3 linked regions of the Anolis sagrei genome follow. The main gene of each other region encodes a partner of the protein of the gene in region 2 in a complex. Links are inferred from orthologs where the notes say so. Each region holds a gene or a part of one and is shown on either strand. Other genes may lie near its edges.

What was found. The genes of interacting proteins can lie anywhere in the genome.
Region 1: the proteins of YWHAZ (region 2) and MAP3K5 are in contact, whole or in part, in a crystal structure (PDB 6EJL), measured with the Homo sapiens proteins. The link is inferred for Anolis sagrei from reciprocal best matches to the Homo sapiens genes YWHAZ and MAP3K5. Residues at the interface, in NP_001129171.1 of Homo sapiens: Val46, Lys49, Asn50, Arg56, Lys120, Arg127, Tyr128, Glu131, Gly169, Leu172, Asn173, Val176, Tyr179, Glu180, Ile217, Leu220, Asp223, Asn224, Leu227, Trp228; in NP_005914.1 of Homo sapiens: Ser964, Ile965, Ser966, Leu967, Pro968, Val969.
Region 3: the proteins of YWHAZ (region 2) and ITGA4 are in contact, whole or in part, in a crystal structure (PDB 4HKC), measured with the Homo sapiens proteins. The link is inferred for Anolis sagrei from reciprocal best matches to the Homo sapiens genes YWHAZ and ITGA4. Residues at the interface, in NP_001129171.1 of Homo sapiens: Lys49, Arg56, Lys120, Arg127, Tyr128, Glu131, Gly169, Leu172, Asn173, Val176, Tyr179, Glu180, Ile217, Leu220, Asn224, Leu227, Trp228; in NP_000876.3 of Homo sapiens: Arg1007, Gln1008, Tyr1009, Lys1010, Ser1011, Ile1012, Leu1013.

The regions. Positions count from the first base shown.
Region 1 is NC_090021.1:79,747,557-79,755,496, reverse strand, and holds the start of MAP3K5 (mitogen-activated protein kinase kinase kinase 5), read right to left. Parts: upstream 3,020-7,940; 5' UTR 2,876-3,019; coding exon 2,461-2,875; intron 1-2,460. UniProt on the Homo sapiens protein: Serine/threonine kinase which acts as an essential component of the MAP kinase signal transduction pathway. Plays an important role in the cascades of cellular responses evoked by changes in the environment.
Region 2 is NC_090024.1:30,751,471-30,759,147, reverse strand, and holds the start of YWHAZ (14-3-3 protein zeta/delta), read right to left. Parts: upstream 3,012-7,677; 5' UTR 2,886-3,011; intron 1-2,885.
Region 3 is NC_090021.1:188,019,315-188,027,026, forward strand, and holds the start of ITGA4 (integrin alpha-4), read right to left. Parts: upstream 3,020-7,712; 5' UTR 2,692-3,019; coding exon 2,480-2,691; intron 1-2,479. UniProt on the Homo sapiens protein: Integrins alpha-4/beta-1 (VLA-4) and alpha-4/beta-7 are receptors for fibronectin. They recognize one or more domains within the alternatively spliced CS-1 and CS-5 regions of fibronectin. They are also receptors for VCAM1.

The DNA.
Region 1 (7,940 bases), on a different chromosome or scaffold from region 2:
CAAGGTCATATGGCAGGCATGACTGCATGGAGCGCCGTTACCTCCCCGCCGAAGCAGTATCTATTGATCTACTCACATTTGCATGTTTTTGAACTGCTAGGTAGGCAGAAGTTGGGGCTAACAGCAGGAGCTCACCCCACTCCCTGGATCTGGATCACCAACCTTTCAGTCAGCAAGTTCAGCAGCTCAGTGGTTTAACCCACTGTGCCACCAGGGCCCTGGATAAGGTGTATAATATGAAACAAAAATGTATTTGGTGCTGAGGCTTGTGTCCCATTTCCATTATGCATATGAAAATCTTCCAAAATCAGGAAAGGGGGCAAAATTCTAGTGCCAGGCCTTAGAGATAAAGGAGGCCATTCCAGGGATTATACTCCAACAGGTTCCACTGCAGGTACACAAGAATTATTATATTAGGAAGGGGTTGGAAGTGCTGAAGGAAGGGGACTCCCTTCCCCTTCAGTATCTCTCATCTGCAGTCAAGGAAGTGCCTTGCCTCCCTTGGCCCTCCTGTGCTGACAGGGAAGAAAGACTGTTTGCATCTACACCAAGTGTCTTCAAACTGCAGCTCTCCAGCTGTTTGGGCCTCCAACTCCCAGAAGCCCTAGCCAACTTGCTCAATTGTCAAGAACTGTGGGAGCTGGAGTCCCAGACAGCTGGAAGGCTCCCTGATCTCCACAGCAGAAATAATGCAGTTTGATGTCGCTTTAACAGCTCTGGCTCAATGATATGCAATCATTGGTGTCGTAGTGCCCTTCCAGAAAGGCCCTATATTCCAGGATCTGATCCCAGGTTTTCTGCTTTAAAGTGGATTATATGAGTCTTCACTGCCAGATAATCTGGGACAAAGAGAAAACCTCGGATCAGATTCTGGGATAAAGTGCCTGTCTGGAAGGGCTGGTGGTTTCATTAAGTCTTTTTTAGCCAAAGAGGGCTGGTTGCCTCGCCAAAGTGCAACTCCATAGGAAGTCCACAACAGTTCAAGCAGCATGAATCTGCACTCATAACTGCAAATTCTTGTAAAACTACAAATCCCAGGATTCCCTTGTACACTCCTGGTCCAGTGTAAAGGCACCCCTTCCAGTATAGGCAGTCCCCATGTGACAAATGAGAGGGGTTCTGTGGGCTTGTTCTTAAATTGAATGTGTGAAGTCTGAACAGGTACCCTTCTTAAATGCCAATCTCCAGCAATATCTATTATGCAAGCTTTGGATATCCTGGAGCTCCTGGTGGCGCAGCAAGTTAAATGCTAAGCTGCTGAACATGCTGACCAAAAGGTTGGCACATCGAATCCAGGGAGTGGGGTGAGCTCCTGCTGTTAGCCCCAGCTTCCGCCAACCTAACAGTTTGAAAACATGCAAATGTGAGAAGATCAATAGGTACCGCTTAGGCGGGAAGGTAATGGTGCTCCATGCAGTCATGCTGGTCACATGACCTTGGAGGCGTCTACGGACAACGCTGGCTCTTTGGCTTAGAAAAGGAGATGAACACCAACCCCCAGAGTCAGACACAACTAGACTTAACGTCAGGGGAATACTTTGGATAGCCTATGGAAGAGTGAACATCCCAGTGGCATTTCCTTTGCTGCCTGTGCCCCTGTTCGGGAGATTTCACCTCGATTTCTGTCCCTGTGATCATTTTGGGAAATTTCATTTGAAGGACGGGTGAGAAAGGTTCAGCGGAGACACCTTTCCGCTCTGACAACAACTCTTTCAGGAGCAAATTTCCCTTCTGAAAGGGAAGATTTCTCTCACTGGGTTGTTGTAAGTTTCCCAGGCTGTATGGCCATGTTCCAGAAGCATTCTCTCCTGATGTTTCACCTGCATCTATGGCAGGTATCCTCAGAGGGGGGAAAGGATGGGGCCTGAGACCAAGCCTCACAACCTCTGAGGATACCTGCCATAGATGCAGGTGAAACATCAGGAGAGAATGCTTCTGGAACATGGCCATACAGCCTGGGAAACTTATAACAACCCAGTGATTCCGGCCATGTTGTTGTTTTCGTGTCTGGAGTGACTTGAGAAACTGCAAGTCACTTCTAGTGTGAGAGAACTGGCCGTCTGCAAGAACGTTGCCAGGGGACGCCCGGATGTTTTGATGTTTTACCATCTTCCTCTCATGGGGAGCTGGAGCTGACAGAGGGAGCTCATCCGCGCTCTCCCCGGATTCGAACCTCCGACCTGCTGGTCTTCAGTTCTGTTGGCACAAGGGTTTAACCCATCGCGCCACGGGGAGCTCCTGATTCCGGCCATGAAAGCCTTGACAATACATTGATTTCCCTCACTTCCTGTTGTCTCCGCCCCGTTCTGAACTGTGAGTCGTTTGCAAGTGGGATGTTTGCAAGTCGGGGATTCCCCAGCATGGAGGGAGGGCTGCCAAGGCGCGTTCGTCCTCCAGTGGAGACGCAAGGAGGGCGGGAGAAGAGGGAGGGGGGAGGGAGGGGAGGGGGGCCTGCCTCACCGGCGTTGTAGAATCGGTCGAGGACAGCGGTCTCTCCGAAGTCGAGCTTCCCGAAGTGGAGCGCCTGGAGCTCGGCGCCCACGGTCTCGCACGCCTCGCGCAGGCTCTGCAGGGCCCCGCTCTCCGCCTGCAGGACGGCGCCCGGGCTGGCCTCGTTGATCACGTACGACACCGTGGTCCGGCGGGCCCCCCGGGACCGGGCCCCGGCCTCGCAGGCGACGGTGGTGCTCCCGTGGCCGCTCTCCTCGTTCCAGAAGGCGCCGGGCGGAGCTGCCCGCGAGGACCCCGCTCCGCCCGCCCCGGCCCCGGTTTTCCTCCCGAAGGCGTCCTCGCAGAGCAGCAGCGGGCATCCGCCCCCGACCAGGCTGGGCACCGAGAAGGTGATGCCCGCCGCCTCGCTGCTCTTGTCACTCATCGCCGCTTCGGAGCCCAAGCCGGCACCATCGAGGCGCGCGCCGGCCTTCCGGGACTTAAAGGGCCCCCGCTCTGCTCGCGGGACACTTGTTGCATCGCTCCCGCCTCCGCCGCTTCTGCCGCTCCGCGCCTGAGCCAGGAGAGGCCCCGCCCCTCGGGAGGGGGAGGGAGGGAGGGAGGGAAACGGGGCGGAGCTCGCCGCGCGCCCGTCAACACCCGCCGCCCAGCAGCAGCAGCAGCGCCCACGGTTGGCCAGGGGCAATCCCTGCGGAAGAGCGCCCCCTGCTGGCCCTGCCCTGGAAGGGTTTCGCCCAATCGCTTGCTTTCCTTCCTCAAGTAGAGCCGTGGCTCTTAACCTTCCCAATCCCGCCACCCCTTCATGCAGTTAGTTCATCATGTTGTGGTGACCTGCCAACCATAAAATTGTTTTCATTGCTACTTCATAACTGTAATGTTGCAGAAGCATACGAGAAACTCGGCCTGTCATTGAACATCGAGAAAATAAAGGTTGCTTACCTGTAACCGTATTTCTTCGAGTGTCAGTCCGTGAAATCCGCACCTATGGGTTCTTCTTTGCGCATGCGCAGAAACTCGGAACATTTCTAAGTTTAAAGAATTAAAAATGATTATTTGAGCCACCTAGGCCCCGCCCATTCCCCCGCCCCCCTGGATATAAGCGCCGAGCGGCGCCGCCATTATCTAGTTCCCAGCGCTAAACAGCAGCCAGGAGAATGGCATGACAGAGGGGAGGACGGGCGGGTCGTGCGGATTTCACGGACTGACACTCGAAGAAATACGGTTACAGGTAAGCAACCTTTATTTATTCTTCGTGTCGTCCGTGAAATGCGCACCTATGGGTGAATAGCAAGCTACTGACCTGGAGGTGGGTCATGCCACACAGGAGAAAAGAACTGCTCTGCCGAAGCTAGCATCTTGCTTTGCCTGTATGTCAAGCTTGTAGTGAGCGGCGAACGTGGACGGCGTAGCCCACGTAGCTGCTTTGCAAATCTGATCCAAGGGAATTCCCTTGAGGAATGCTTGAGATGTAGACACAGAGCGGGTTGAATGTCCCACGAGGTGGGATGGAGGTTCTTTCCCTGCGAGCTGGTAGGCTAGACGGATGGTTGCAACAATCCAGGAGGCCAGTCCTTGGGAGGACACAGGCTGGCCAAGTACGTCTTTCCTGTATTTCAAAAACAATCTGGGAGACTTCCTATAAACGGAAGTTCTATGTAAGTAAAAGGAGAGTGCTCTTTTAACATCAAGGGAGTGCAGAACTACCTCCAACTGGGTTGGGGAAAAAATTTGGTAGAACAATGTCTTGTGACATATGAAAATGAGAGACCACCTTAGGAAGGAACGTGACATCGGTGCGGAGGACAACCTTGTCAGGGTGGAATCTCACATAAGGAGGGTCTGAACGGAGGGCCGCGAGTTCGCTGGCTCTCCTAGCTGAAGTAATGGCCACAAGAAAGGCCGTCTTCCACGACAGGTGGGAGATATCATTAGAGGCCATAGGTTCAAATGGTGGTTTGGATAATTGGGATAGCACTAGCTCCAGGCTCCACTGGGGGGGAGGGGGGGAGACAGGAGGGTGGATATTTTTGTAGCCCTTAAGAAACAACTGTACCAGATGGTCCTGAAAAAGGGACGGCAGCCCGGACTTCCTTCGGAAAAATGAAATGGCTGACAGGTAGCATTTCACCGAAGAAAGGGAGAAACCTTTGTCGGAAAGGTGGACAAGGAAGTCTAAAACAAAGGGAACTGGGGCAGAGATAGGGTTGTGTCCCAGTGAGTGAGCAAAGGATTTGAAAGAGGCCCATTTATAGTCATATGACTTCTTGGTGGCAGGTTTATGGGCCGCCAAAAGTATACGGGAGACTTCATCAGAAAGGTCTAGTGTGGTTTGATTCTCCACGCCGTTAGGCGTAGAGATTGCAGGTCGGGGTGTAGGACCAGGCCGTTCTCTACTGTGAGAAGGTCCGGGGTTTGGCTGAGGTGGAGGTATTGTTTGTTGGAAATTTGGAGAAGGGGGGCAAACCAATGTTGTCGTGGCCACCAGGGTGTGATTAGAATGCAGTCCGTGTTGTCCTGAATTATTTTGGCTATGACTGGGGATAGGAGGGGGAGCGGTGGGAAGAGGTAGAGGAGGCCGGGCGACCATTGGAATAGGAAGGCGTCCCCGAGACAACCTTGGGATGCGCGAGGGTGGAGCCGTGCGCAGTAGAGTGGGCAGTGGTTGTTTATTGGAGATGCAAATAGGTCTATTCTGGGTTCGCCCCACTTGCGTGTGAGGGCTTTGAACTGTCTGGGGTGGAGATGCCACTCGTGGTTGTTTTTTGAGGATCTGCTTAGAGAGTCCGCCAGGATGTTGTCCTGGCCTGGTAAGTGGATGGCTGTGAGGAGGACATTCTTCAGAATGCACCACTCCCAAATTTGTTGTGAGATGTGGAGGAGTGTGCGTGAGCGTGTTCCTCCCTGTTTGTTGATGTAGTATTTGACAGAGGTGTTGTCTGTTATTATTTGTATGACATGATTGGACACAATGCGTGTGAAGGCCCGAAGAGCCTTCTCCACTGCCATCATTTCTAAGGCATTGATGTGGAGCTTCTGCTCTTGTGGGGACCAGTGGCCACTGATCTGGAATCCCTTGAGATGTGCTCCCCAACCTGAGTTGGAGGCGTCGGTTGTGAGGGACATGGAGGGACGGGGATGGTTGAATGGCATCCCCGAGAGAACATTGTATTGCTTTGTCCACCATGAGAGTGACTGGAGGACAGGGGGTGGTGGTTTTAGGACCCGTGACTGGGGTTCGTGAAGGGGGTCGAACGCTTTGAGAAACCAACTTTGGAGGGGTCTCATTCTTAGACGGGCAAAGGGTGTTACACTTGTGGTAGAAGCCATATGGCCAAGGATAGATTGGATAGCCCAAGCTGATGTTTGGCGGGATTGTTGTAGGGTTAGGATAGCCTGACACAGATTTAGGAAGCGATCTTCTGGGAGGAAGGCCTTCTGAAGTGTGGAGTCTATTATGGCTCCTATAAATTGGATACGTTGTGTTGGGGTCAGGTGAGATTTTTCGTGATTCACAACCAGACCCAGATCCTGTAAAAGAGATAAAGTATAATCAGTATCCTTGCACAGTTGTGATCGAGAGGATGAGCAAAACATCCAGTCATCCAGGTAAGGAAAAACTGTGATGCCTTGCTGGCGGAGGTGTGCGGCTATAACAGACATGCATTTGGTGAATACCCTTGGAGATGTGGAAAGTCCGAACGGGAGAGAATTAAAAGAGAATAGTTTGTTTTGGACCGCAAAGGTAAGGAACCTGCGGTGGGAGTGTCTAATTGAAATATGGAAGTAGGCGTCTCGAAGGTCAATCGTGGCTAACCATGAGTCCTTGGGAATGAAGGGAAGGATTTTGGGGAGTGTCACCATATGAAATTTACGTGGTGTAATGAAAGTGTTGAGTTTACGTAGATCAAGGATGGGGCGTAGACCACCATCTTTCTTGTCCACCAGGAAGTAACGGGAGAAAAAACAGATGTCTGAATCTTGTGAGGGAGTAGGCGAGATGGCGCCCTTTTGGAGGAGAGAGTGAATCTCTTCCCAAATGATTTGGGAAGGTGGTGTTAGCAGTACATTACCCACTGGGGGATAATTGTCAAATTCTATGGCATAACCCCTTTCAACGATGTCCAAGACCCAGGTGTCTGTGGTTATGGACTGCCATGTCGGAAGGAAGGTATGTAGTCTGTCAAGGTATGTAAGCGGTTGGGTGTGGGGTGGTGAGGGAGTGTCGGTAAGTGTAGGTGTGCTAAAAACGGCGTTTGTTGGTATTGGGGGGCCTGGTACCACGGTACTGACCTCTGGAAGGTAGGGGCGGTCGTCTTGATGATGTGGAGGGGTTGTAAGGTCTTTGTCGTCCCCTGTAGAATGAGGTGTTGTAGGGCCTATTGTAGTATTGAGGACGGTAATAATAGGAGCCCCATCGTTGGCGTTGGTAGGAGTATGGTTGATGGTCATACTTGTATACTGTTTGTTTCATTTCATGGGAGTGTTTTAACTGAGAGTCTGTTTCAGGATTGAAAAGGCCTGCCTCATCCATGGGGAGATTTTCAATCAGGGTGCGTTGTGATTGAGAAAGGATAGCTGCTCTTAGCCAGGCGTGGCGACGAAGGGCCACTGATCCTGCAATAAGTTTGCCTGCGGTGTCAGCAATATTTTTGGAGAGGTCTTTTTGTAGGGAGGCCAAAAGGAGAGCTTCTTGTTTAAAAGCTGTGGCTAGAGGTTGTTCAGTTGGTGGTAACAGGTCTAGATAGGGAGCAATTTTGTTCCACAAGGCAGTCTGGTATACACTCATGTATACTCCATAGTGAGCCATGCGTGCAAAGAGGCATGCTGAGGAGTAGAACTTTTTGGCCATAGCATCCAACTTTCTTCCTTCCTTATCAGAAGGAGAGGTTTGGTTAATTTGAGTTGGTTTAGGTTGAGCATCAGTCACAACAGAATTTGCTTTAGGCATTTTAGCAAGCCATGAAGCTGAGGAAAGGTCAATACGGTACAAGTTTTCAGGCCTCTTAGGAGTTGCCGGGACAGAAGCCGGGGCAACTCCATTATTTTTGAGAATTTTTAATAAGTAAGGTAGAGTGGGCAACACAGTGGATGATGGTTGTTGTTGTTCAGTGGAAGTAAAACACGGGTCAGCTACCGTATCGGTAGGTTCCGGAGTGGCTAAGTTTAAGGTTCTAGTTAGTCTTATTAAAAGAGCTGAGAATTTTTTGAATTCCTCCACATTTTTAGGGGAGGGGTCAGCGTCAGGTTGGGTATCCAGGATGGCAGGTGTGTCATCATTGGATTCAAGGTCGATGGTTTCTGAGTCTGGCAGGGGTGGATTGTTGGGATCTTGCTCGGGTGGGTGGGTTTGGGCCTCAGTTTGGTCTTCCTGAGGGCGAGAGAGTGTGGCCGTGGGAGGCGCACAGGGGGGCTGAGGGTATCTAGGGTCCTCCAGATGGGAGGCATCAAAGCCCCTATAGTGATCAGGGTGGGGAGGATAATAGAAAGGG
Region 2 (7,677 bases):
GTGTGGGCTCAGATAAGCAGATATTGTGGGATTTTCTCCCTTGATATTCTGGGTTATATGGCTGTGTGAAGGGCCCTGGGTCATCTGAGCCCACACCATCCCATGACCCAGTTCAAAGCAGATATTGTTGGATATTCTGCCTTGATATTCTGGTTTATATGGCTGTGTGGAAGGGCCCTGAGTGGGCTGAATTTCTCAGTGGGGAACAGAACCTAAACTGGCTTAATCCAGATCTCCAGTCACAAAATTGTACCTCTTCTTGCCCGAGGCAGCCTATCCCTGGGGAAGTTTAAGCCATCAATGTGTCCAGGAGACATCAGGTTTTACCAACCATCACCAGCAGTCTGAAACACTACCCACCCTCCTCCCTTTTTTATTTTATTCTGGAAGGGCCCTGGGTTATCTGAACCCACACTGCCATATAACCCAGTTCAAAGCAGATATTGTGGGATATTCTGCCTTGATATTCTGGTTTATATGGCTGTGTGGAAGTTGAGTTGAATCTCTCAGTGGGGAACAGAACCTAAACTGGCTTAATCCAGATCTCCAGTCACAAAATTGGCTGGATGGCCATCTGTCAGGGATGATTCGAATGCAATATTCCTGCTTCTTGGCAGGGGGTTGGACTGGATGGCCCATGAGGTCTCTTCCAACTCTTTGATTCTATTATTGTACTTCTTCTTGCCTGAGGCAGCCTATCACTGGAGAAGTTTAAGCCATTAATGTGTCCAGGAGACATCAGGTTTTACCAACCATCACCAGCAGCCTCAAACACTACCCACCCTCCTCTTTTTTATTTTATTCTGGGTTATAAGGTTGTGTGGAAGGGCCCTGGGTAATTTGAGCCCACACTGCTACATAACCCAGTTCAAAGCAGATATTGTGGGAGATTCTTCCTTGATATTCTGTGTTATATAGCTGTGTGGAAGGACCCTGGATTATCTGAGCCCACACCGCTACATAACCCAGTTCAAAGCAGAAATTGTGGGATATTCTGCCTTGATATTCAGGTTTATATGGCTGTGTGGAAGGGCTCTGGACTATCTGAGCCCACACTGCTACATAACCCAGTTCAAAGCAGATATTGTGGGATATTCTTCCTTGATATTCTGTGTTATATGGCTGTGTTGAAGGGTCCTGAGTTATCTGAGCCCACACTGCTGCATAACCCAGTTCAAAGCAGATATTGTTGGATATTCTGCCTTGATATTCTGGTTTATATGGCTGTGTGGAAGGGCTCTGAGTGGGTTGAATTTCTCAGTGGGGAACAGAACCTAAACTGGCTTAATCCAGATCTCCAGTCACGAAATTGTACTTTTAGGCCATCAATGTGTCCAAGAGACATCAGGTTTTACCAACCATCACCAGCAGTCTGAAACACTACCCACCCTCCTCCCTTTTTTATTTTATTCTGGGTTATAAGGTTGTGTGGAGGGGCCCTGGGTTATCTGAGCCAACACTGCCATATAACCCAGTTCAAAGCAGGTATTGTGGGATATTCTGCCTTGAGATTCGAGGTTATATGGCTGCGTGAAAGGACCCTGGGTTATCTGAGCCCACACTGCCGTATAACCCAGAATCTCAAGGGAGAAAAATCCCACAATATCTGCTTTGAACTGGGTTATATGGCAGTGTGGGCTCAGATAAGCAGATATTGTGGGATTTTCTCCCTTGATATTCAGGTTTATATGGCTGTGTGGAAGGGCCCTAGGTGGGTTGAATTTCTCAGTGTGGAACAGAATCTAAAATGGCTTAATCCAGATCTCCAGTCACAAAATTGTACTTTTAAGCCATCACTGTGTCCAGGAGACATCAGGTTTTACCAATCATCACCAGCAGCCTCAAACACTACCCACCCTCCTCTCTTTTTTATTTTATTCTGGGTTATAAGGTTGTGTGGAAGGGCTGTGGGTTATCTGAGCCCACACTGCTACATAACCCAGTTCAAAGCAGATATTGTGGTATATTCTACCTTGATATTCTGGGTTACATGGCTGTGTGGAAGGATCCACAGACCCACCTATTTCTCCCGGTTTTCGCCAAGGAAGGAAGGAAAGAAGGGAGGGGGAGAGAGAGGGGGGGAGAGAGAGAGGAAGGAGGCGGCCTCTTGGCGATCCCTTCCTCCTCCTCCTGCGGCGGCCACACCCTTTCAAAAAAGCGCCCGAGATGAAGGAGTGGAGGCGGCGGAAGGAAGGGAGGCAGGCAAGGAGGGAGGGAGGGGGAGCAAAGAAAGGGATGGAGAATGGAGAATAGAATGGAGGAGGCAGTGTGCTCCCCAACATGGCGCCCCACCTCGCCTGCCTCTCCTCCAAATCCCTCCCTCCAAACTGAAGGGAAGAGGAGAGGAGGTCGGTGTGGGCACTTCCCCTTCTTCCATCATGCCTGAAGAGAGAGAGAAAGAAAGAAAAGAAAGAGAGGGAAGGAGGGAGGGAAGGAAGGAAGGAGGAGAGTCCCCCTCCCTCCCTTCCCTCCATCTTTCTTCCTGGCGAAAATAAGGGACACCGCCCTGAGGGCTTCACCTGCCTCAGGGAAAGGGAAAAAATGGCGCCCCCGCCTCGCCCACTTAAAACCCCCTCCCTCCAAACAGAACCATGTTCCTCCCTTCCTCTCGATCTGAGGGAGGGAAAGGACGAGGGAGGCACCTGCGCCCCAGCAAGAGAGGGAATGAATGGCGCCGCCGACGCCCTGAGAAGACAAGGCCGCGGCTCTTCCCTCTTCCGACGCTCCCCCCCCCCCCCCCCCACTTCTCCTGTTTTGCGGGCTCTTCCCGCCACTGCCTTCCCTCCCCCCCGGAAAGAAAGAAAGGAAACGATAGACAAAGGAAGCGGAGGGAGGGAGGGACCGAGATGGGAAGAGCCCACCCTCCTCGAGAGGCCGTTCGTTACCTTGCGGGGTCGACACTACGAGAGAGTCCCTTTAGGCGGGTGACCGGCGCGGACTGTGCCTCCCTCGTTCGCAGCAGCCTCTCTCGCTCTCTCTCGCTCTCTCTCACACACACGCACGGGGTCTCCGCCAATCACCGCGTCGCAACGCACGGGCAACACAGAGCCCGTGACGTCAAGCGGCGCCATGGCAACGGCGAGCGGGCGGTAGAGGGAGCGAGAGCGCGCGCGCCCTGGAAGGCGCCTACACTTCCCCTCCCTCCATTCGCGCGCGCGCACATACACACACTCTCTTTCTCTGCCTCTCGCGCGCGCCTCACCTCTTTTTCCGCTTTCCAAAGCGATGGACTGCACCAACCGCCGCGAGAACGAGCGCGCGCGCTCGCCTCACTAGGACACTTCTCTCTCTCTCTCTCCTTTTCCCCTATGCTGATGATCGTGCCATTTACCACTCAAGCAGAGAGCTTTGAGATGTATTGTCGAAGGCTTTCATGGCTGGGAATCACTCAGTTCTTGTGGGTTTTTTCGGGCTATATGGCCATGTTCTAGAGGCATTTCTCCTGACGTTTCGCCTGCATCTATGGCAAGCATCCTCAGAGGTGACCTCACCTCTGAGGATGCTTGCCATAGATGCAGGCGAAACGTCAGGAGAAATGCCTCTCGAACATGGCTCTATAGCCCGAAAAAACCCACAAGAACTGAGCTTTGAGATGGTTGAAAAGAAGCTCTCCAAAGCTCTAGGTCAGCATTTCTCAACCTGGGGGTCGGGACCCCTGGGGGGGGTCGTGAGGGAGTGTTAGAGGGGTCGCCAAAGACCATCAGAAAACACAGTATTTTCTGTTGATCATAAGGGTTCTGTGTGGGAAGTTTTGGCCCAATTCTATCGTTGGTGGGGTCAAGAATACTCTGATTGTAGATGAACTATAAATCCCAGCAACTACAACACCCAAATGACAAGGTCTATTTCCCCCCCCAAACTCCACATTTGGGCATATTGAGTATTTGTGCCAAGTTTGGTTCAGATTCATCACTGTTTGAGTCCACAGTGCTCTCTGGATGTATTTGAACTACAACTCCCAAACTCAAGGCAATGCCCACCAAACCCTTCCAGTATTTTCTGTTGGTCATGGGAGTTCTGCGTGACAAGTTCCGTTCAGTTCCACTATCGATGGAGTTCAGAATGCTCTTTGATTGTAGGTGAACTATAAATACCAGCAACTACAACCCCCAAATGACAAAATCAACCCCTCCAACCCCACCCGTATTCAAATTTGAGCATATCAGGTATTTGTGCCAAATTTTGACCAGTGAATGAAAATACATCCTGCATATCAGATATTTATGATGATTCATAATGGTAGCAAAATGACAGTTTTGTTATGGTTGAGGGTCACCACAACATGAGGAACTGTATTAAGGGGTCACTGCATCAGGAAGGTTGAGAACCACTGCTCTAGGTGCTCTTACTGCCTATTACAGGGAAAACGAACTGATCCCTAACCCATCTGAAACACAGACGTGTGCTTTTCATCTTAAGAACAGACAAGCATCCCGAGCTCTGAGGATTACCTGGGAAGGATTCCCACTGGAGCATTGCAACACACCCAAGTACCTGGGAGTCACTTTGGACCGTGCTCTGACCTACAAGAAGCACTGCCTGAACATCAAGCAAAAAGTGGGCGCTAGAAACAACATCATACGAAAGCTGACTGGCACAACCTGGGGATCACAACCAGACACAGTGAAGACATCTGCCCTTGCGCTATGCTACACTGCTGCTGAGTACGCATGCCTTTCACCTTAAGAACAGACAAGCATCCTGAGCTCTGAGGATTACCTGGGAAGGAATCCCACTGGAGCATTGCAGCACACCCAAGTACCTGGGAGTCACTTTGGACCATGCTCTGACCTACAAGAAGCACTGCCTGAACATCAAGCAAAAAGTGGGTGCCAGAAACAATATCATACGAAAGCTGACTGGCACAACCTGGGGATCACAACCAGACACAGTGAAGACATCTGCCCTTGCGCTATGCTACTCTGCTGCTGAGTACGCATGCCTTTCACCTTAAGAACAGACAAGCATCCCGAGTTCTGAGGATTACCTGGGAAGGAATCCCACTGGAGCATTGCAACACACCCAAATACCTGGGAAAATATAGACCCCTGACTGATCCCACAGCAAGCTGGCTTCGGAAAAGGCAAAAGCTGCACATTGCAAGTGTTGAACCTGACTCAGCACATAGAAGATGGCTTTGAAAGGCAGCAGATCACAGGAGCTGTCTTCATAGACCTGTCAGCAGCTTATGATAGTGTGAACCACCGCCTCCTCCTGAGAAAAATGTATAATATCACAAAGGACTACCACCTCACCCGCCTCATAGGAAACCTGCTACAAAACAGGAGCTTTTTTGTTGAGTTCAGGGCCAGAGAAGCAGATGGCGGAAACAGAAGAACGGCCTGCCTCAGGGGAGTGTGCTTGCTCCATCCATGTTCAACATCTACACAAATGACCAGCCACTGCCAGAAGGGACGGAGAGTTTCATCTATGCTGATGATCGTGCTATTACTGCTCAAGCAGAGAGCTTTGAGATGGTTGAAAAGAAGCTCTCCGAAGCTCTAGGTGCTCTTACTGCCTACTACAGGGAAAACCAGCTGATCCCTAACCCATCTAAAACACAGACATGTGCCTTTCATCTCAAGAATAGAGAAGCATCCTGAGCTCTGAAGATCACCTGGGAAGGAATCCCACTGGAGCATTGCAGCACACCCAAATATCTGGGAGTCACTCTGGACCATTCTCTGACCTACAAGAAGCACTGCCTGAACATCAAGCAAAAAGTGGGTGCCAGAAACAATATCATACGAAAGCTGACTGGCACAACTTGGGGATCACAACCAGATACAGTGAAGACATCTGCCCTTGCGCTGCGCTACTCTGCTGCTGAGTATGCATGCCCAGTGTGGAACACATCTGACCACACTAAAACAGTGGATGTGGTTCTTAATCATCATCATCATCATCTTTGAATAACTTATTAATTGCCCTCCATCCGAGAATGCTCTAGGCGATTTACAGCTAAATTATAAAAGATAAAATACATATATACAAAAATTAAAAATCAACAGAGATCGAATGCTCTAGTAAAAACCCAGGTCTTAAGTGCGAGAGTAAAAGGCCCTAAGTCACGCATGGCTCTCATGTAGGGCGGCAAGGAATTCCACAAGGCAGGGGCAGAAATAGAAAAAGCCCTGCGCCTGGTCCTTTCCAAGTGCACTTCTCTAGGATCCGGTATATGGAGTAAGTCATGTTGGGCTGGTCGTTGCGACCTCTGATGATGAGAGAAGGAGAGGCGGTCCCTAAGGTACGATGGACCCTGGCCGTAAAGAGTTTTAAAGGTCAGAACTAGCATTTTATACAGGCCACGGTACTCAGTTGGAAGCCAATGTAAATGTAGCAGCACTGGTGTTATATGGCATTTCATGGGCGTTCTTGTGAGTAGCCTGGCTGCCGCATTCTGAACAATACGAAACTTTTGGGTCGTAGACATTGGAAGGCCAACATATGTATTATATACATTGTATATACATATAATATTTATAATATTGTAATGTAATGTAATGCAATATAATACTACTACTAATAATATGATATTATAATTATATATTTATATTACATGTAATATTACTAATAATATTACAGTATAATTGATATAGTGCAATATAGCAATATTTAAAACTGATATTGTACTATGTTAATAATATATTGTATGTATATATACCTTGTAAGGCGCTCTGAGTCCCCTTCGGGGTGAGAAGGGCGGCATATAAATGTCGTAAATAAATAAATACAGGGCGTTGCAATAGTCCATGCAGTAGACATGCCGCATTATCACGGGGTGTCTGCGCCCTACACCACTGGAGAAATTACACTGCTTAGCCTGTATTGCACCACCTGACATCCGCCGGGAAGTAGCAGCCAATAGTGAAAGGACCAAGGCAGAGACATCTCCAGCTCATCCCCTGTTTGGGTATCAGCCAGCACGTCAACGACTTAAATCTAGAAATAGTTTTCTAAGATCTACAGAGACACTCGCTGGAACACCTCAGCAAGCGAGAGTCCAAAAGTGGCAGGCCCAAACCCAGCACCTCAGATGAGAGACTCCCTCCTGGGCACACAGAAAACTGGGCGACTTGGAAGGCGCTGAACAGACTGCACTCTGGCACCACGAGATGCAGAGCCAACCTCAAGAAATGGGGCTACAAAGTGGAATCCTCGACATGCGAGTGCGGAGAGGAGCAAACCACTGACCACCTGCTGCAATGCAACCTGAGCCCTGCTACATGCACAATGGAGGACCTTCTTGCAGCAACAGCAGAAGCACTCCAAGTGGCCAGATACTGGTCAAAGCACATTTAACCAACTACCAAGTTTGCAAAATCTATGGGTTTTTTTTGGTTTTTTTTAATCGGTGTGTTTGTTTTGTTCTGTTAGAAATGTAATACAATGGTATGGTTGCTGATGACACGATAAATAAATAAATAAATAAATAAATCCTCTCTCCCCCCCCCCCCCCCTTTCCTTTCCCTTTCCCAACTCTCGCGCTCTCGTGCGCGCGCTCCCTCATCGGGAGCGCGCGCACCGCCTCTCCTTTCCTCCCTCCCTCCCCAACTTCCTCCACTCCCCTTCACCCCTCCCACTCACTGCAGAGCGCGTTGGCTCGCGCATGCGCCGCACGCACCCGCCGCTCCTCTCTCTCTCTCTCTCTCTTCTTTTCTCTTCCCTCCCTCTCTC
Region 3 (7,712 bases), on a different chromosome or scaffold from region 2:
AATGTTGAATCCCACATCCCATTGAGTCGCGAAAACTGTTATTTTATTTTTTACAATGACATCCATGGAGTCACCATTAGTGGGTTTGCCATAAGACCCCAGTTGATTTGAAAACAGCGACCATGTCAGGTGACTTGAAGGAGAACTCTGGAGAAATCAAATGTTTACATGTCAGGCACTTGGTTGATTTGGAATCTCACCCCCCCCCCCCCAAATCACTCAAACTCTACCTCTTTGTATTATTTTCTCCCCCCACCCTAATGACATTCATGGGATCTCCAGAATACGCCAGGTAACTAGATGAGAGTCCTAACAAGTCACACTCCAAAGCCCTGGCACTTCGGTGAGTGGGATTTTGAACCCCACATAAGTCACTCAAACTCTTAGTAAAGAAACAAACAAACTACAACCTCATTTCGTTATTTGCTTTGGCTGTGAACTCACACACTTCTCTTGTCCCTTCCTCAACATTCAGACAGCAGGATGGAGAAGACAAGAGAGAATTAAACTAAGTCTTATTCTCTAGCTCACTCGCTCAAACAAGCACAGAGCCTTATCCAACGAGACCCCCCCCCCCCCCCCAGTTTTAAACACTATGTATACATTTATAGAATGGAAAGCAATGGAACCCATCCCACGATGCAGGGGGACTTCCTGTCTCTGCCTGTCAAGATTTGTCATGTAATCGTTGAAAAAGGGGATGGGGGAGATGACGATCTGAAAGCATCTCAATTGTCTTGGATGCATGATATTCCATTTCTAAAGTGCCCAAAACATGTGGGATAGGAGCCGTCAGAATTGCCTACATTGACTCAAATAGGATGACGTAGGCAAATGGGCTGTCCTGTGGGCGGTCTACTAACCAGCAGTAAGCCCCCACTTCTCTGCTGTAATGTGGCCACACAATCAATGTCTGTAATTGTTTAATATATATTTAGAACTAAGAAATATTGTTACTTTAGTAGATCACTATTTTTCTTAAGGAATGCAAATCTCAAACCAGCAAGAGTTTGGACTCTTGTGATGTCGAAGTAACGCCCTTTTTTGTAAAAAGGGGGAGGGAGGGAACGGGTGGACAATCCACTTGCTGGTGGGATAAGGATGAAAACAGTTAGAAAGGGAGAAACCACCAAATTCAGAAGACACGCTGTAAGTAATAACTGAGGGATGAATTTGGTTAGTAAAGGAGAAACCAGCAAGTTCAGCAGACATATGGTAAGTATTGTTGAAGGCTTTCATGGCTAGACTCACTGGATTGCTGTGAATTTTCTGGGCTGTATGGCCATGTTCCAGAAGCATTCTCTCCTGATGTTTCGCCCACATCTATGACAGGCATCCTCAGAAGTTGTGAAGTCTGTTGGAAACTAGGGAAGATGGGTTTATATATCTGCCAAATGTCCGGCGTTGGAGAAAGAACTCTTGTATGCTGAATGTTGCAACTGATCATCTTGATTAGCATTGAATGGTCTTGCAGCATCAAAGCTTGGCTGCTTCCAGCCTGGGGGAATCCTTTGTTGGGAGGTATTAACTGACCCTATATCCCAGAATATCAAGGCAGGATATCCAACAATATCTGCTTTGAACTGGGGGTCCTTTCATACAGCTGAATAAAATCCCACATCATCTGCTTTGAACTGTGATTTATGGCAGTGTGGACTCAGATAGCCCATTTCAAATAAAATATTGCGGGATTTTCTGCCTTGATATTCTTGATATTTTCTACCTTGATATTCTGAGTGTGGAAGGGCCCTCAGTTATCACACTCAGATAATGTGGGGGTTTTTTGCCTTGATATTCTTGGATATAGGGCTGTGTGGGAGGGCACTCAATTAACTGAATTCACACTCAGATGTGGGATTTTTTTTGCCTTGATATTCTGGATATAGGGCTGTGAGGAAGGGAGCTAGGTTATCTGAGTTCACACTCAGATAATGTGGGATTTGTATTGTTGAAGGCTTTCATGGCTGGAATCACTAGGTTCTTGTGGGTTTTTTTGGGCTATAGGGCCATGTTCTAGAGGCATTTCTCTAGCTCCATCAGAGAAGAGCTCTTTGCCCCACCCCAGCCATTCCACAGATATATAAACCCATTGTCCTAATTCCAACAGACCTCACTACCTCTGAGGATGCTTGCCATAGATGCAGGCGAAACGTCAGGAGAAATGCCTCTAGAACATGGCTCTATAGCCCAAAAAACCCCACAAGAACCTATAATATTCTGGGATATAGGGCTGTGTGGAAGGGCCTTCACACTCAGATAATGTGGGATTTCTTTTGCCCTGATATTCTGGGCTATAGAGCTGTGAGGAAGGGCCCTAAAAGGCCATGATGCCATGATCATGAACTCCCCCAAAGAGGACAAGGTCCTTAGTGTCAAGGAGCCCTTGAGTCTGAGCAGGAAGAGCATGTGGGATGCCATGGGTGGCTGGGCTGCAGGCTGGGCAGAAGAGTTGCCCTTGGGTGGGGCGAGGGCTACTCACCAGGGCGTGTGGGCCACGCTGTGGAGGAGCACCGAGTAGCCAAACAAAGTCCCGTTGTGCCCTTGGAAGACCAGCGGGCTCAGCGTGTCCAAGTTGTAAGCCTGGGCAGGCGTGGAGCAACAGCTGAGGGAGAGGAGCAGGCGGGCCAGCCCTGGCGGGGAGAAGAAGCGCGCCTCCTTCTGCTTCTGCTTCTGCTGCCAAGGAGCCTTCATCCCTCTTGGCTGGCTCTTTCCCTTGTTCTACAAGTTGTCTCCCGTCTCAGGCTCAAGGCAGACACGGAGGGCTGCTCCTGCTGCCTCCAAGTCCCGGCGCTTCTTGGAGTCCAGGAGGCGCCAAGTTCAAAGAGTGAAGTCAGTCCAAAGTTGGAGCTGGGCGCCTGCCTCTCTCGAGGGCGGGGTGGCTGAGGGGGAAGTTTGGGGCTGGCTCTCCCCAGCAAGGCTTGAGGAGGCGCTCCTGGCCCTGCTTCGCCAAGCCGAACCCCGAACGCGCGCGAGAGAGAGAGGCCGCTGCTTTCAATTAGGGACAAAGAGGAGGGAAAGGAGAGGCAGAGAAAGCAGAAAGGAGGAGACCGAGGCGAGGGTCGAGGGGTTGTCCCAGCAAAAGAAGGAAGTGCCCAGAGCACCAGGAACACCCCCATGCCCCCAACAAACCGAGCAGCGTCCAAGTGGGCTCAAGGCGGGGGAAAGTTTCCAACAGAGCTCACAACCTATGAGGATGCCTGCCATAGATGCAGGCGAAACGTCAGGAGAGAATGCTTCTGGAACATGGCCAGACAGCCCGAAAAACCTACAACAACCCGGGGAAAAGTTGTGAAGGAAGAACCACACACAGACTTTGAAACACAGCAGTAATTTAGGGCCCTTCCGCCAAGCTCAGTAAAACCCCACATTTTCTGATTTGAACTGTAATATATGGCAGTGTGGACTCAGAGAACTCAGTTATTGTGGGATTTTCTGCCTTGATATTCCCTTTATAGGGCTGTGTGGAAGGGGAGAAAGTTGTAAATAAACACACACACTTCTGAAGGTAAAGGTAAAGGTTGTCCCCTGACATGTCTGACTCAGGGGTGCGGTGCTCATCTCCATTACTAAGCCAAAGAACCGGTATTGTCCATAGACACCTCCAAGGTCATGTGGCCGGCATGACTGCATGGAGTGCCGTTACCTTCCCACCGAAGTGGTACCTATTGATCTACTCACATTTGCATGTTTTCGAACTGCTAGGTTGGCAGAAGCTAGTGCTGACAGCAGAAGCTCACGCCGCTCCCCGGAATCAAACCTGCGACCTTTCGGTCAACAAGCTCAGCAGCTCAGCGCTTTAACCCACTGCACCACTGGGGGCACTTCTGAAAGACAGCAGCAATTTAGGCCCCTTCCACACAGTTGAATAAATTCTACATTTTCCACTTTGAACTGGAATATATGGCAGTGGAATATATGGATGTGAGAGCTGGACCATAGGGAAGGCTGAGCGAAGGAAGATAGATGCTTTTGAACTGTGGTGCTGGAGGAAAGCTCTGAGAGTGCTTTGGACTGCGAGAAGATCCAACCAGTCCATAATTCAGGATATAAAGCCTGACTGCTCATTGGAGGGAAGGATAGTAGAGGCAAAGATGAAGTACTTTGGCCACATCATGAGAAGAAAGGAAAGCTTAGGGAAGAGTATGATGCTGGGGAAAATGGAAGGAAAAAGGAAGAGGGGCCCACTAAGGGCAAGATGGATGGATGGCATCCTTGAAGTGACTGGATTGACCTTGAGGAGCTGGGGGTGGTGACGACTGACAGAGAGCTCTGGCATGGACTGGTCCATGAAGTCACAAAGAGTCGGAAATGACTGAACGAATGAACAACAACTATATGGCAGTGTGGACTCAGATATCTCAGTTCAAAGCAGATATTGTGGGATTTTCTGCCTTGATATTCTGGGTTATATGGCTGTGTGGAAGGGCTCTCAGTTATCCGTGTCCACATTCAGGTAATGTGGGATTTCTTTTGCCTTGATATTCTGGGATATAGGGCTGTGAGGAAGGGCCCTTGTCGTGCCAGGCTCTTCCTGCTCCCCTTGGGCTCAGCTTCAATGGCTCCTTGACACTAAGGATCTTGTCCCATTTGGGGAAGTTCATAATCATGAAATCATGCCCTTGTAGGGCCCTTCCACACAGCCCTATATCCCAGAATATCAAGGCATAAAAAATCCCACATTATCTGAGTGTGAACGCAGATAACTGAGTGCTCTTCCACATAGCCCTATATTCCAGAATATCAAGGCAGAAATCCCACAATATCTGCTTTGAACTGGGTTATCTGAGTCCACACTGCCGTATATTCCAGTTCAAAGCAGACAATGTAGGATTTTATCCTGCTGTGTGGAAGGGACCTCAGATAACCTAGGGCCCTTTCACACAGTCATATAACCCAGGTCCCATCCAGACAGTACCTCTATCCCAGGAGCTTCTGCAGCAAACAGGAGGGTGACCAGACGCTGTTTCCTGTAAATATGGAAGCAATCACTACAAAAGGCAAAAAACACAAGATTTCCAGGTGCAGGAATATCGCAGTTTTGAACCGAATATGCGGATCTTCGCATGTCTGTATGTTCCTGCAATCAGAAATCACAAGATTTTTTTTTATCTGGGTTTGTTCCTGAGTTTTAGATGTTTGTTCTTGATTGGTCAGTTCCAAAAAAGAAGGTGATGTTTGAGTAGAAGGCAAAAGCTTTGTTTGTATGCCAGAAACTTCATGAAACTTGTGGAGGGCACATTTTCTCTGTCCAGGATAAAGTTGTACATCTTTTCACAAGAAGAGCAACCAGAAACAGCCATGTATAACCCAGAAACAGCACCCTGTTGTTTAATGCCACAAGTACACAACAAAATCTGTCTGGACCAGTGATTCTCAACCTGGGGAGGGGGGGTCCTGAGGGGGTGTCAGAGGAGTCGCCAGAAACCATCAGAAAACACAATGTTTTCTGTTAGTCATGAGGGTTCTGTGTGGGAAGTTTGGCCCAATTATATCATTGGTGGGGTTCAGAATGCACTTTGATTGTAGGTGAACTATAAATCCCAGCAACTACAACTCCCAAATGTCAAGGTCTGTTTTTCCCCCAAACTCCACCAGTATTCACATTTGGGCATATTGAGTATTTGTGCCAAGTTTGGTCCAGACCCATCATTGTTCTCTTACAGTGCTCTCTGGATGTAAGTGAACTACAACTCCAAAACTCACTATCAATGCCAACCAAACCCTTCCAGTATTTTCTGTTGGTCATGGGAGTTCTGTGTGCCAAGACTGGTTCAATTCCATTGTTGGTGGAGTTCAGAATGCTCTTTGATTGTAGGTGAGCTATAAATTCCAGCAACTACAACTCCCAAATGACAAAATCAATCCTCCCCTCCAACTCCACTAGTGTTCAAATTTGGGCGTATCGGGTATTTGTGCCAAATTTGGTCCAGTGAATGAAAATACATCCTACATATCAGATATTTTCATTATGATTCATAACAGTAGCAAAATTACAGTCATGAAGTAGCAACGAAAATAATTTTATATTTGGGGTTCACCACAACATGAAGAACTGTATCAAGGGTTCGCGGCATTAGGAAGGTTTAGAACTACTGGTCTGGACAGATGGCCAGGCAGACAGGCTCTAAAAGGTGTCAATAATGACAAAGTTCTGTTCTTGGCTTGAAAGTCTGTGTTCCTGTTTGTGCAGTGCTGATTTGGGCATAAGTGGTCCTACTCCGTAAACTTTGAGTGGCAGATGCTTCATGAAATGTCAGGAGGGCACAGTTTCCTTGACCAGGACAAAAATGGAACTTTTGCAGTGATTCACTACAGTGAGTTTCTGCATGTCTGCATTTTGAGGTTTTTTTAAAAACCCGCAGAAGTTTCAGGCGGAAGTCCTGCATCAGCCATCTTGGAAGCTTCTAAATATCACAACAAAGCATCAGATCTGGACAACAAAGACAAAACTCCCAGGACCAACAAGTCTGTATGTAGACCTCTACTGAAGTCCCAGAATTTTTTGTCCCAGTTTAAAATTCGTGATTTAGTGCTCTCTGGAAACACCCCCAGAATATCAAGGCAGAAGATCCCGCAATATCTGCTTTGAACTGGGTTATCTGAGTTCACAGTGTCATATATCCCAGTTTAAAGCAGAAAATGCGGGATTTTATTCAGCTGTGTGGAAGGGACCTAAAGTAGTGGGAGGATAGGGATCTTGAGTGACAGACGCTCCCTGCAAAGTCTTGAAAGATGTAGATGAGGCAACCAGACCAGAGGAATAGGCGGTTGGAAGGTTCATCTATACTATACAAGAATGGAGTTTGACACCACCTTAACTGCCATGGCTCAGTGCTATGGAATTCTAGGATTTCTTGTTTTGTGAGGCACCAGCACTTTTTGGCAGAGAAGGCTAAAGACCTTGTGATACGACAACTCCATTGATCCCATAGCTATGACCCCTGGCAGATGAAAGATGAGGGCCTTTCCACACTGCCCTATATCCCAGGATCTGATCCCAGATTATCTGCTTTAAAGTGGAATATATGAGTCTCCACTGCCAGATATTCTGGGATAAGCAGCTAATCTGGGATCAGATCCTGGGATATAGGGACAGTGTGGAAGGGCCCTGGGTGGAAACTCAACATGGGAGAGGGGAGAGAAGCAAAGTGCTACAGTCTCTTCTAGCTTGTGTGTGTTCCCTCATTAATAATTTTTCCCAATTGGAACACACTCCAAGGTTGCTTGGACACATGGGCCTGGTTTTTATCTGAGAAATATTGAAGAGTTCAATCACGAGCCTTCCAAGATCCTCTTACACTACCATAGAAAATCCAAATTATCTGCTTTGAACTGGATTATATGGCAGTGCAGACTCATATAATCCAATTCAAAGCAGGTAATCTGGATTATCTGATTTGATAATCTGGATTATATGGCAGTGCAGAAGGAGCCCCAGAGGTTGCTGAAGTGTATCTCCCAAGATTCCTCACCAGGGCTGCTGATATTAGTAATCCAGCAAAATCTGGAAGGCTGCTCCTCAGGTTTTGGTTGGTACACATTTTGGACTTGAGCTTCCAGAAGTTCCATCCATCATGGCCTGTGATCAGGGATGGTGGGAGTTAAAAGGCTGGGGATCCATTGTTTTCATACAATCAAGTAAAATATCACAAAGTAGTGAGCCAGCTTTGTTCAATATCCAGAAAACTCAGAGACTTGTTTATTGAGTGACA